Linked DNA regions of Daphnia pulex. The protein of the gene in region 1 purifies or fractionates together with the protein of each later gene. This does not show direct contact. Links are inferred from orthologs where the notes say so. Each region holds a gene or a part of one and is shown in the gene's direction. Other genes may lie near its edges.

Region 1 (3,600 bases):
AGAACCGCTCACGATTGAAACGGTACAAGTGGCTGTTCCACTGACAGGAGAGGTCCGCATCAAGATCGTCGCTTCCGGGGTTTGCCATACTGACTTGTTTTTTCAAAGAGGGGGAGACGGACCGGATGTATTTCCGTGCATCCTCGGTCACGAAGGAGCTGGCATTGTGGAAAGCGTTGGACCTAACGTTACTTCCGTTGAACCAGGTTATTTCATCTATTTAAATGGAAACGATATAATAAAATTAAAAGAACCATCGATTACAATTAGGCGATCACGTAATCCCGGTTTATACAGCTCAGTGTTACAATTGTGAATTTTGCAAGTCTAGCGAGACCAACATTTGTAATGTTAACGGCACATTCCAAGTAATCCACTAATCCTACAGTTGATAAAACGAAACGAAATTTACATTTCTATTTATATATAGCTTGCTGGATTAATGAATGACGGTACGACTCGCTTTACATGTCGTGGTCATTGGTCATTGATATTAATCCATCTAAAGAAAATATTGGTTTGAATTCATTTATCTAATGCTGGTAAGTATTTTTAAAACTTGGATTGAATAATGATTATTACAGGCAAGAAATTTGGAATCACTGATTTCATCAACCCAGATGACTACAAAATACCTATAGAGGAAGTAATTATGGATATGACAACAGGAGGATTAGACTACGCTTTTGAGTGTTGTGGCATCCCCAGTTGCATGGTAGTACAAATTAAAATTTGTTAGCTAATGACTTTAATAGATTTTTTTGCATTTCAGAAAGCAGCAATGAATGCCTGTAAAGAAGGTTTGAGTGTATTAACTATTGTGGGAGTAGCTGATTTGACAGCAGAAGTCTCGTACAATCCTATACAACTAATCTATGGAAGAACCATTAAAGGGACCTATTTTGGAGGTTTAAAATATTTAAATAAAAATTTTAATACCATGGATCATACAATAAGGCCATCATATGTCAGGGTGGAAGAGCCGTGACCAAATCCCAAAGTTAGTGGATGAATATTTAGCCAAGGAATTGATGGTGGATGAATTTATAAGCCACACCATGCCAATTGAAAACATAAATGAAGCTGTGGAACTAATTGAAAAAGGAGAATGGTAACAAATGCTTAAAAAATTTTTTTAATCAGAAAAAAATATATACCTGCATATGTTTTTTATTTTCAGTTTGAGAAGCATGGTCACTTTCTGAAACAATTGAACGTCGCAACACAGTATTAAAATCTAATTTTCATCTTATTCCATTGATACGAAATATAATTGCATACCGTGGAGAATCCTATCATCTGAAATTATAAATTATAAAAACATATTTTGATTTCAAATTCAAAACAAAAAAAGTTGTACCGGAAATAAAAATGGCAACGTTGCTGTTAACATGAGACTTGAAAAGATTTTGTGATGGCGCGGGCTGTGGCTTTGATCATGTAAAATTGTGAAACAATAGTACAATACTGCATTGAAATGGGAGATTTGTTTAACTCAGATGACATTCCAGTTACTTGGCCGAGAGAGTTGCCTCAGTTAAAAAATATAGATGACCGTCTACACTGTCCAATATGCTACAACTATATGAAAAATCCTGTGATATCAACTGCTTGCTCACACAATTGTAATACCTTTATTAGTTTTATATTTACATATTAATACTAAGGCTTCATGTGTGCTTTTTTTTAAAATTTACAGTTTGTTCGTTATGCATCAGGAAAAACATAAGTCTCAAGAACAGCTGTCCAATATGTTTTGTTGACATTTCTGATGGGTTGCTGCGCCCAAACCGTTGCCTTGAAGAAATCATCAAATGCTTTCAGCCAGTAAAGAATTATGTTTTGAATACTCTAGTGAACACCAGAGATCAACAACAAGAAGGTTTTTCAACAGAAACTTCAAGAGACAGTTTATCTTCTCATTCCTCAGCCATAATTCACAAACAAGCAGAAAGTGAAATATTGCCTGGTCAGAATGTTCATAAAGAGAATATTTCATCATCTTCTTTCACAGCAGCTGATGGAAAAAGTCTGAACAGCTACATTTCTGTCTTTTTGGCATCATCAAGTGTTCCTGTCGTAGATACTCATCAACCTCCAATAGCATCATGCAGCCAACCTGTAAGAGCATCAAGACCTAGTGCTCATCAGAAACCTCCAAGTCAATCTTCTAATGATGTGAAAGAAGTTCTTTGTCCTGTGTGTCATAACTTGATAAGGGAGACTATTATCAACATTCATCTGGATTCATGTTTGAACTCAAACAAACCTGCCAAGAGGAAGCCCATGCCAAAGCTGATATATCATCTAATGAAGGAACAAGAGCTGAAGAAAAGGCTTAGAACATTGGGACTCAGCAATGTTGGTGACAAAGCTACTCTGATCAATCGACACAAGAAGTTTACCATTCTCTACAATTCTGAGTGCGATGCTTTGGAGCCCAGACCGGTCGAAGAACTGATAGAAATACATGTACGAGAAGAAGCCGAAAACCATCGATTGGCTACTGAACTACGTCTTGCTTCCGCTAAAGTGAAAACAAATGATATAGAAAAAATCGAGGAGGAAAATCTTCAGTATTTACGCAGTAACAAAGAGAGTTACGATCGTTTAATCAACGAAATTCGGCAGCGTCCACCTTTGCCGCCACCACCTATTACTCTACCGTTGCCTGAGGAACCTCCAGCTTTCAAAATCAAGAACGAGCCTCCGAAAGTAGAAAATGAAAGCGAAGAAGAAGTGACGGAGATCTATGTCCCACCAAAGGTTTACGAAATGATCTGTTTATCGGACAGTAGTGAAAGTGATGAACCACCTTCGATTAGTTCACGTCCGGTTTCAGCTGCTGGTACGTCTGATAGTGACGTCTCTAGACAATCAACTTCCGATGATTCCATTCCCGATCCATTGGAATCTGGGAGTTCTAAGGATAGCAATTCTTTGTCCGTTGGTGCTCAAACTATCACTTTGTCGACAAGTGATTCAAGTAGCAGCAATTCCACTTCGCCAACGACCTACAGTCCAGTTGAGTCACCTACCGAATTTTTATTTGAAGAAGAATCTAGCAGTAGCTTGAGCGCTATGTTGCCCACCGTACTGAAAATGTCAAAGAAAAGGTCAAAGTCTCCTTCGCTGAACATGTCCGACCGCAAACTGTCATTAAGAAGAAGATTTTGAAGATAGTTGTGGCATTATTGTGTAAATATTTTTTCTAATAATTTCTTTTTGTTTGTGCAAAAATGGTTTGCCCTGCTATTCTTGCATGCCAGTCATTTTGGTTCTAAATTTTATGTTTCCGATCGAGAATAAATTGCTTACAAATTTCAAATGAAAGCGACGAAAAATTGAAAATGTAAAAGAAACTGGCATCCTAATTGTTGAATGATAAATAAAACCCCAGAAATGTCCTGAGTATTCATTCCAGATTTAACTGAGTATCTTATTAAAGTGAAAGTCCTTCAGTCACGGAATGATCCATGCATCTAATTCCCTAATTGAGATGAATCACGTTTTCCATTAATTATGAATTGATTGATCTATGATTACACAAGCAGGATGCCTGCTTAGGAATAGGTACGTGATTTTTAAGTAGGAAAAGAG
Region 2 (3,831 bases), on another chromosome or scaffold:
AATTTCCCAACTCGAAACCGAACCGCTTTTTTTAAATTTTATTTTCTATAGCCGGCTGGTTCTCTCTCTCTCTCTTAACATCTTAATAAATAATCATAAAATATAGTATCCAGTTGTGTTTCCCATAGGATGAACCGCAGAGATGTTCTATTTTTATCCACAAGCTTTTTATTTCCACCTAATTTTCGTGATTTTTTTATTTATTTTCATGAAGCTTTTTTAATAGGGGAAGCTGCTATTTTCGGCCTTTATAATGCAGACTCATTACGATCTTCACGTGCGCTAAATGAAGCGCAAATGCGTTCGGCTCGACTGCTTTCCCATGCTGCCGTGTGCTGTGTGTTATAGGATACGATATTTTTATGAAGTCCAGACGTCTGCAAGTAATAGAACGGACTTTGATCTCCTCCGTCTTTCCATTTTTGTTAGTAGCCTTTTACAACTAACCGGGAAACGAGAAACAACATTGGACTCCTTCTTTCAATCCCCGTGTGCTGTATATGGCTGTAGAAAGAAAAACATTCTGGACACGATTCGAATAAAGAAAGAGAAAAAACGAGTTGATTATGCAGAAGAAACAGCATTTTTGTGTGTGTCTAATGTCCAGTCTCCTGTCAGCTGCTCTTTTGTTATTTATAGTTGAAAACGTTCTAACGCAGACTCCCATTTTTTTCTCTGTGACAATTACAGACTAACGAACGCTTATCTTTTAATCCTTTAGTGGCATCGCTATCAAATGCCAATTTGGTCACCTTTGAGATATGTACCTGGAGCTAGAAGAAACGCCAACAATTGGATTTAACAAGAAAAATCGGAGGTCCGTTTTTATTGATCGAATGGATGGGATCGTGGGTATAAAAAGCTCAGACAGACAAAACAAAAAATCCAATAAAAGATAATCTAATAAACCAAAGGAGCTGCGAGTCCGGGGTAGGCGTGGAATTGAGGTGCCGCGATGAAGTTGCGGACGACCGGGGCGGTGTAGTAAGGCTGGGCGACGGGCACTGGCACTGGGTAGCTCTTGTAGGTGTACTCGGGCTGTTGGACAGTCACTTCCGGTCGGACATGGGTGTACTCGGTGGGCTGGTAGCTCACTTTGGAGAGGAGAGGTGCACCCAAGCCGAAGCTCATGGCGCTGGCAGCGGCGACGATGGCCAGGAAAACGAAGACCTGAAATTTTAAACATTTGATGAATTTAAATGAATTGGGGTTTTTTTACCTTTTGGGCTATCAAGTTATCCAAATTTTGAGGCTTGATTTTGTTTTTAATACCTTGTACATTTTGATTTTCGGTTGAGGAACGAGCAAAGTGATGCTGGAAGTCGACGGTGGAAGACTGGCTTGATTCAACTGGAGCAGATGGTCCACCTTTTATACCGTGATTTCGCAGCCGATGGATCCGCGTCCTTCCGCAATCCCGCCACCGTTTTTTCACGAAAACGACCCCACCCTGAAAAAACGAGTCTTGTACTAGATTCACCTTGAAATTCGGGAGCCTCCCTTTCTGCTTCTGCACAGTGAAGAAAACATTTACAAGGAAAAGAGCAAATGCAACACAAAAATTGGATCCAACTTTTTTGTTCACTGATTTATTCTGGCGGCAATCACCTTGAATTCCATCGCCAAGCTGAGTAGAATCTCAACCTTGGAAGAAATAAAGAAGAAAAAAAAGGTAATTTTTATTTTTTTTTATTTTTACAACCGACCGCACCTTTTTACCTTAAGGCTTATATACACACGGCCATCCCCTGTGAAATTCTGTGAAATTAATTTTTTTCTTTTGTTTTGTTTTTCATCCAACGAATTTTGTTTTTCTTTATCCTTTCAGTTACTATTTTTATTTATTGATTGGTTTTCATGATAATGATTGAGATCCTGGTTGGGGTTAACTATTGAAGTGTCTGTCTCATAACTCGATGGTAAATTGTAGTATATGTGGCTCCTTTCATCTGCAAACAATATCTCGGGAGTCTCGGGAGGAAAAATACACACATAGTTGTTTTTTAAAGTTTTCTGGCTAGCTCCGTTATAGGTAAATGAGCTAAGCAACTAATAGAAAGGAGAAGATATGGCCATAGCCGCTCCTCCGCTAGTCCTTCTATTGACGTTTTCTCCAAATGAAAACGGGCGTGAAAGTCTCTCTCCTTTTGAATGGAGAGCCCCGAGGCTCCGACAGCAACACGGCACAATATCATCACGAAAGAATGCGCGTATTCATACATGGACAGATATATCCACACACTCTACCCCCGGCTGCGTTGAGATAAAAAGTGCCGAGGATCTTTTCTTCTTCTTCTTCTATAATTTCGCCTCAAAGGCAACAAGTTTTTTTAAAAGGTAAGAAGAAATTCATAATGAACCTGATAATAAATCGTTTTTAGAAATGTTTGTGTTTCTCTCCCGTTGTTGGGCGACTGCTGTATTTTATATGTAGTTATAACATCTTGTTTAATGCGCAGATTTGTATTGTGTGTATTTATTTATATTTTTTTGGGAATTTCTTTTTGGTGTCGTAAAATGATTTTTACTGCTGCAGTTTCAGGAGAGACTGTTTGAGCTGGAGATACCAACTTGTTGGGTTGCTATCACGACCGGAAAACGACATTCGATATGCTGCTCAATAAAACACAATTCCCAAACCACTTCGCCCGTGGACGTGAAGTATTTCACGTTCTCTTAACGACATTTGGCCGCACGACGATATTGCATTTCTTTTATTGCGTGTGTATTATTGTCATTACTTGGGCTAGAGGGAAATTGTGGTGTAATAAGAATTTTTATTTAAAAAAAAAAACAAATTAAACACAAAAACAGGTTTTCTTTCAATGTTACTTGAACGCCATCTTACGGTTCAGGTAGAAAGTTCATTTAAAGAATTTAGCAGACGACTTTGGTTAAGGAACAAAATCAAAATTGAGTAGCTGCTGTGAGGCTGTGAGTGCTGCCTGCTGGACGGGCCGATTCAAAATAAGCAGGAAGAATGGAGTCGAATGGTAGTAACGCTTTTTCTATTTTGTCATGGCTTTTTTTTTGTTAATTGAAATATTTGTATGTACAATAGATGAATTTATGGCTGTACCTGGCACGTCGAATGACACTGTCGTGAACCTCTTTTCTTTCAGACATGGTCATTCAGTGGATTATGATGCTCTGTATGATCTTGTCAATCTAAGAGCTAAACAGCTTCAAAGTTGCACGGCTCCCATATTGGACGTGCAGCACAAATCTCTGATCCCAGAATTGAGAATCTATCAAACAGAAGCCGTTCAATGGATGATACAACAGGAACAACAGAGCTCAGTCAAAGGAGGAATCTTGGCTGATGAAATGGGTCTGGGAAAGACGGTAGAAGTTCTAGCCTTGATGCTGAATCACACGAGAGAGAAACTGCCCAAAATCGAACGCCAGGAACCAGCAATCACTGCCATCACAGAAAACGAAGAGCCAGAAGCCAAGAAGATGAAGCTTTCCGAAGACCATTGTGCAGTATGCTTTCCAAATCGAACCATTGGGCAATCTATTGAAAATGTCATTTGGCGCTTTAGTCCAGACATTGAAAAATCAACCATCCAAGAAGTGATTGATGTTCATTGTGGTGACATACAAAATGAAAATCCCACAGCCACAAAGATACAGCGCTGCACCTGCAGCAATCCTGCAATTCGCAAAAGACTCAATATTCATTACACCAACTCTCTGGCCGAGTACAGCTGCCTGAAAAGTCTCCAGAATCGCTTGAACGTCCCAGCCGAAAAAGACGAAGCCCCCATTCTATGCGTCTGTGGGAAAACAGTAGCTGGATTGTCTCCTTTAGTCCAATGCCCCAAATGT
Region 3 (3,831 bases), on another chromosome or scaffold:
AACTCAATTACCTATATTCAACCAAACTGAAACCTCAACATTACCAGAAACTCATCAATCAGAATGTGACAACATTACTGACAATGATGTTGAAGAACTCAACTTGGCAAAAGAGCAAATGATCACTTATGTGGCAAATAGCCAAGCGGAAGATATTTTCTTTAGAAGCCAGCAACGTGATGAACCAGCACTTACAGCTGAGGAGAAGAAAAAGATTGCAGCGTCAGTGTTGAAATCAAGTCCTTCAAATTTCTTAGTCAGGTTTGGAAAAATATTGAATCCAAATCACCTGACTTACTTTCATCAATTTGAAAACAACTATGAAGTTTTATTTCATCTTCAGCAGCTGGAAAAACAGAATAAATTAACACAAACTAGTGTTAAAAACCTGCGTTTCCATGCAATGAATGAAATGATAAAAGAAGGGAAATATTTCAGCATGGATGAAATGAGGAAAAGAAACCCAATATTATTTCATGAGCTTGTTGAGAAATATATGTCATCAGATGAAAAAAGATTGTTAGAACAGGAACAACCAAAGCTATGTAATCTTTCAACAATTTTCATGGCCCACATAGATGGTGATTCTGAGAATTCTAAAAGGAGAAATGAACAACGAGCTGATCAATCAGCTTGGGATGAGGCATTAGCTTGCGAAGAGGAAGAAGAAGAGGATGATGATGATGATATAGATCAAGAAGAAAAGAAATTCTTCCGCGATGAATTTATATCAAGTATTATTTACGATATATTTATTTATTTTTTTTTCGATTAATATTTACCATTTTTTAAAGGTATGTATAGTAGCTTTCTCAGTGGGCGTGATGAAGAGTTCGACTACAGCCAAATTGATTCTTCACATCCCAAAGACGATGTCATATATGAAAGAGATGCCGAAGAACGATACTTTGATAGTGACTAACACAATATTAATTCGCTGTATGAAATCTTCCAAATGTCATGATTTGTAATGAAAGTAAATAAAAAAAAAATTCAATAACAAAATTGACTCGAGTACATACAGTCATACAGATTATCCGTGTAAATTGAGTATTTGGTGATTGATTATATTCGAATTTCTTTTTTTTAATAATGTAAACGATTAACAACATTTTTTAAACAAATTTTTATTATGTATGAGAACTTCAGAGGTAGCTTAAGCACCAGGTTGAAGTATGGCGGGTTTAAGTTTTGGCGGGAACTAACAAGCAGACAACTCGAGAGGAATGTGTCAATGTGGAATTGTGGATGTAGGTTGTTTACCGATTAAAAAATCTGCTCGGGAAGATATACATGCTAAACTAATATTAAATGTGACAACTTATTAAGTTTAAAAAGTCAATGTCTAAAACAACTGGGAAAACGTGGTCCGAAGGGTATCATTTTGCTCCAAACAGCTCAAAATACCTGGCAGGAGATCCAGATGTAAAATTTGTCGTTTTTGATACGTCGCCAGATAACAGTGAAGACGAAGAACTAGTTCCTTGTTTGGAAAGAAAATTGAACGATGGTATTGATCAAGTGAAGTCTCAAGAACCAATACTTACAAAGGAAATTAATTTGGTTTTGTCAAAAAGTGATGACAATGAAATTGATAGTCAGTGTTCCACATCAAGCAATGATCTTCCATTGAGTCCTTCCACCAGAGAGGATATGATACAATACTTGAACTTTTGTGCATCAAAAAAACTTAAAAGATGAGTGCTGAAGATGAAAAACGAGTTGTAGCCTTGATTGACATGGACTGTTTTTATGTTCAAGTGGAAGAGAGAGAAAATCCTGGCAACAAAGGAAAACCTGCCTGTGTGGTGCAGTATAAAAAATGGAAAGGGGGTGGTATTATTTCTGTAAATTATGAAGCTAGAGCGCAAGGAGTAACTAAGCAGATGAGAGGAGATGAAGCCAGGGAAAAATGTCCAGATTGCATTCTTTACAGAGTACCTGAACAGCGAGGAAAAGCTGATCTCACAAGGTAAAAGTATTTTTCTAAATTTATCAAAAAAGATATATATAATTTTCATAATTTGCAATTCTAGGTACAGGGATGGAGGAAAAGAAGTCATTGATGTGATGTGCAGCTTTGGTGTCGTCGTAGAGCGCGCCAGTATTGATGAAGCATACATAGACATGACCGCGGTTATAGATAAAATGCTTTCAGATTCCACAGGTTGGTTGAAAGTAAAATTCAGCTTGATGAAATTCGTCATTCACTTTGTCAATGTCCTACTTTTACTAATATAGCCACTGCGATCGATCTTGAAGAGCTTCCAAACACTTACTTTGTTGGATGGGGGAACGACACAGATGATGTAAAAGGTCGGTCATTATTTTACATGCTCTAGTTCTATTACTACAATATTTCCTATAAATTCGTAGGTGTACACGGGTGGTTACAAGCGTTATCGGAAGGAAATTGCAACGATAATGACTGGAAATTAACATATGGTGCTATTTTGGTTGAAAAGATGCGCGCTGCTGTTTATGAAAAAACCGGATTTCGTTGTTCTGCTGGGATTTCCAACAATAAAATGTTGGCGAAACTAGCTTGTGGTATGCTCTTATTTCTTTTCTTTTTTTTTATTATGAGCCTTCAAAATGACTTTTTTTTTTCCTATAGGCATCAACAAGCCCAACAAGCAAACCGTTTTGCCTTTTCGTTCCGTTGAGGAATTTTTTACGACGTTCCCTTTAAAGAAAGTTAGAAATCTTGGTGGTAAACTTGGTCTTGTTCTACGAGAAGAGTTCCATTGTACTACTATGGCAGATATCGTAAAAATTCCCGAGCGGGTCTTGCAGGAACGTTTTGATAGTAAGACGGGGTAAGTTTTCTCGCTTTCATCTTTAAATGCCTCTCATATTTATTGAAATCTTTGTCTTTCAGCACGTGGCTTTACTGGTACGCCCGAGGAGTGGATCATGAGTCGGTCAGCTCCCGCAGACTGCCCAAGTCCATAGGCTGTAATAAAAATTTCACTGGTTTAGCTGCACTAGATTCTCGGGAGAAAATAAGCCATTGGCTAGAAGAGTTATGTGCTGAAGTTTCTGAGCGACTCGAGAAAGACCGGGAAACGGTAAATCCCATCACTCTTGTACCTCTTTTTCGTGTGTTGGCATAACATATTTTCCCTTGAAAATTTATTTTTTTAGAATAATAGAACGGCAAAACTATTAACTCTGACGGTTCGATTAGAAGGCGATATACGACCGTACTCTTATACTCGTTCAATTCCTCTGACTTCTTCATACGAAAAAATGCACATGGCGAACGCTTGCTTGGCAGTTATTAGTAAAGAAAATCCTTGTTTCAAACAAGGCAACACTAGAGTTCCAGTGGTTGTTACCTGCCTTGGAGTTTCAGCTAGCAAGTTTGTTGATCAACTGGAAAATAATTCCAGGATCGATCGCTTTTTTGTCACTAAAAATAGTGCTGAAACCAACAAGGAAAAAGAACCCTATGCAGAACAGGAAGCATTGCATGAAAACGATGATCTAAACGAAAACAGTACTGATCAGGAGGATGAAGAAAATGAATTTGTAGAAACTGAAAGAATCTTGGATATTGAAGAAGAAAGTATTACGGCACCAGAACCAAATACAGCCGACTCTGCTTCAGAGTGCACTGAAGCAGAGCCTGTATCAGTCCATAGAGAAATGAGTTCAATGCCTATTTCCAATCAAGATAACTGTGGAATAGTGAAAAAAACTGGGTTTTTTGCTTCTCGTTGCCTTGACAAAAACACTCCAATACAATCAGCTAAAGAATCTGTTCCTGAACCAGCAGCCCTGAAAATGGTGGGTCTTCAAGAGTCATTCTCCGTTGAAGAACTATTT

What was found.
Region 2: the proteins of E3 ubiquitin-protein ligase RAD18-like (region 1) and E3 ubiquitin-protein ligase SHPRH-like purify together in Homo sapiens (affinity purification with western blotting; 3 studies listed by BioGRID and IntAct, with this or other methods). This does not show direct contact. The link is inferred for Daphnia pulex from reciprocal best matches to the Homo sapiens genes RAD18 and SHPRH.
Region 3: the proteins of E3 ubiquitin-protein ligase RAD18-like (region 1) and DNA polymerase eta-like purify together in Homo sapiens (affinity purification with western blotting; 7 studies listed by BioGRID, with this or other methods). This does not show direct contact. The link is inferred for Daphnia pulex from reciprocal best matches to the Homo sapiens genes RAD18 and POLH.

Annotation. Positions count from the first base shown.
Region 1 is NC_060025.1:2,017,028-2,020,627, reverse strand, and holds E3 ubiquitin-protein ligase RAD18-like, read left to right. Parts: upstream 1-1,477; coding exon 1,478-1,625; intron 1,626-1,699; coding exon 1,700-3,177; 3' UTR 3,178-3,412; downstream 3,413-3,600. Other genes in the region: alcohol dehydrogenase class-3-like, read left to right, coding at 469-517, 585-715, 773-908, 973-1,111, 1,181-1,205. UniProt on the Homo sapiens protein: E3 ubiquitin-protein ligase involved in postreplication repair of UV-damaged DNA. Postreplication repair functions in gap-filling of a daughter strand on replication of damaged DNA.
Region 2 is NC_060028.1:1,214,003-1,217,833, reverse strand, and holds the start of E3 ubiquitin-protein ligase SHPRH-like, read left to right. Parts: upstream 1-1,560; 5' UTR 1,561-2,337; intron 2,338-2,536; 5' UTR 2,537-2,721; intron 2,722-2,814; 5' UTR 2,815-2,980; coding exon 2,981-2,993; intron 2,994-3,061; coding exon 3,062-3,831. UniProt on the Homo sapiens protein: E3 ubiquitin-protein ligase involved in DNA repair.
Region 3 is NC_060027.1:5,025,616-5,029,446, reverse strand, and holds the start of DNA polymerase eta-like, read left to right. Parts: upstream 1-1,201; 5' UTR 1,202-1,697; coding exon 1,698-1,972; intron 1,973-2,036; coding exon 2,037-2,167; intron 2,168-2,241; coding exon 2,242-2,316; intron 2,317-2,376; coding exon 2,377-2,550; intron 2,551-2,617; coding exon 2,618-2,819; intron 2,820-2,881; coding exon 2,882-3,071; intron 3,072-3,147; coding exon 3,148-3,831. Other genes in the region: coiled-coil domain-containing protein 97-like, read left to right, coding at 1-734, 795-922. UniProt on the Homo sapiens protein: DNA polymerase specifically involved in the DNA repair by translesion synthesis (TLS). Due to low processivity on both damaged and normal DNA, cooperates with the heterotetrameric (REV3L, REV7, POLD2 and POLD3) POLZ complex for complete bypass of DNA lesions.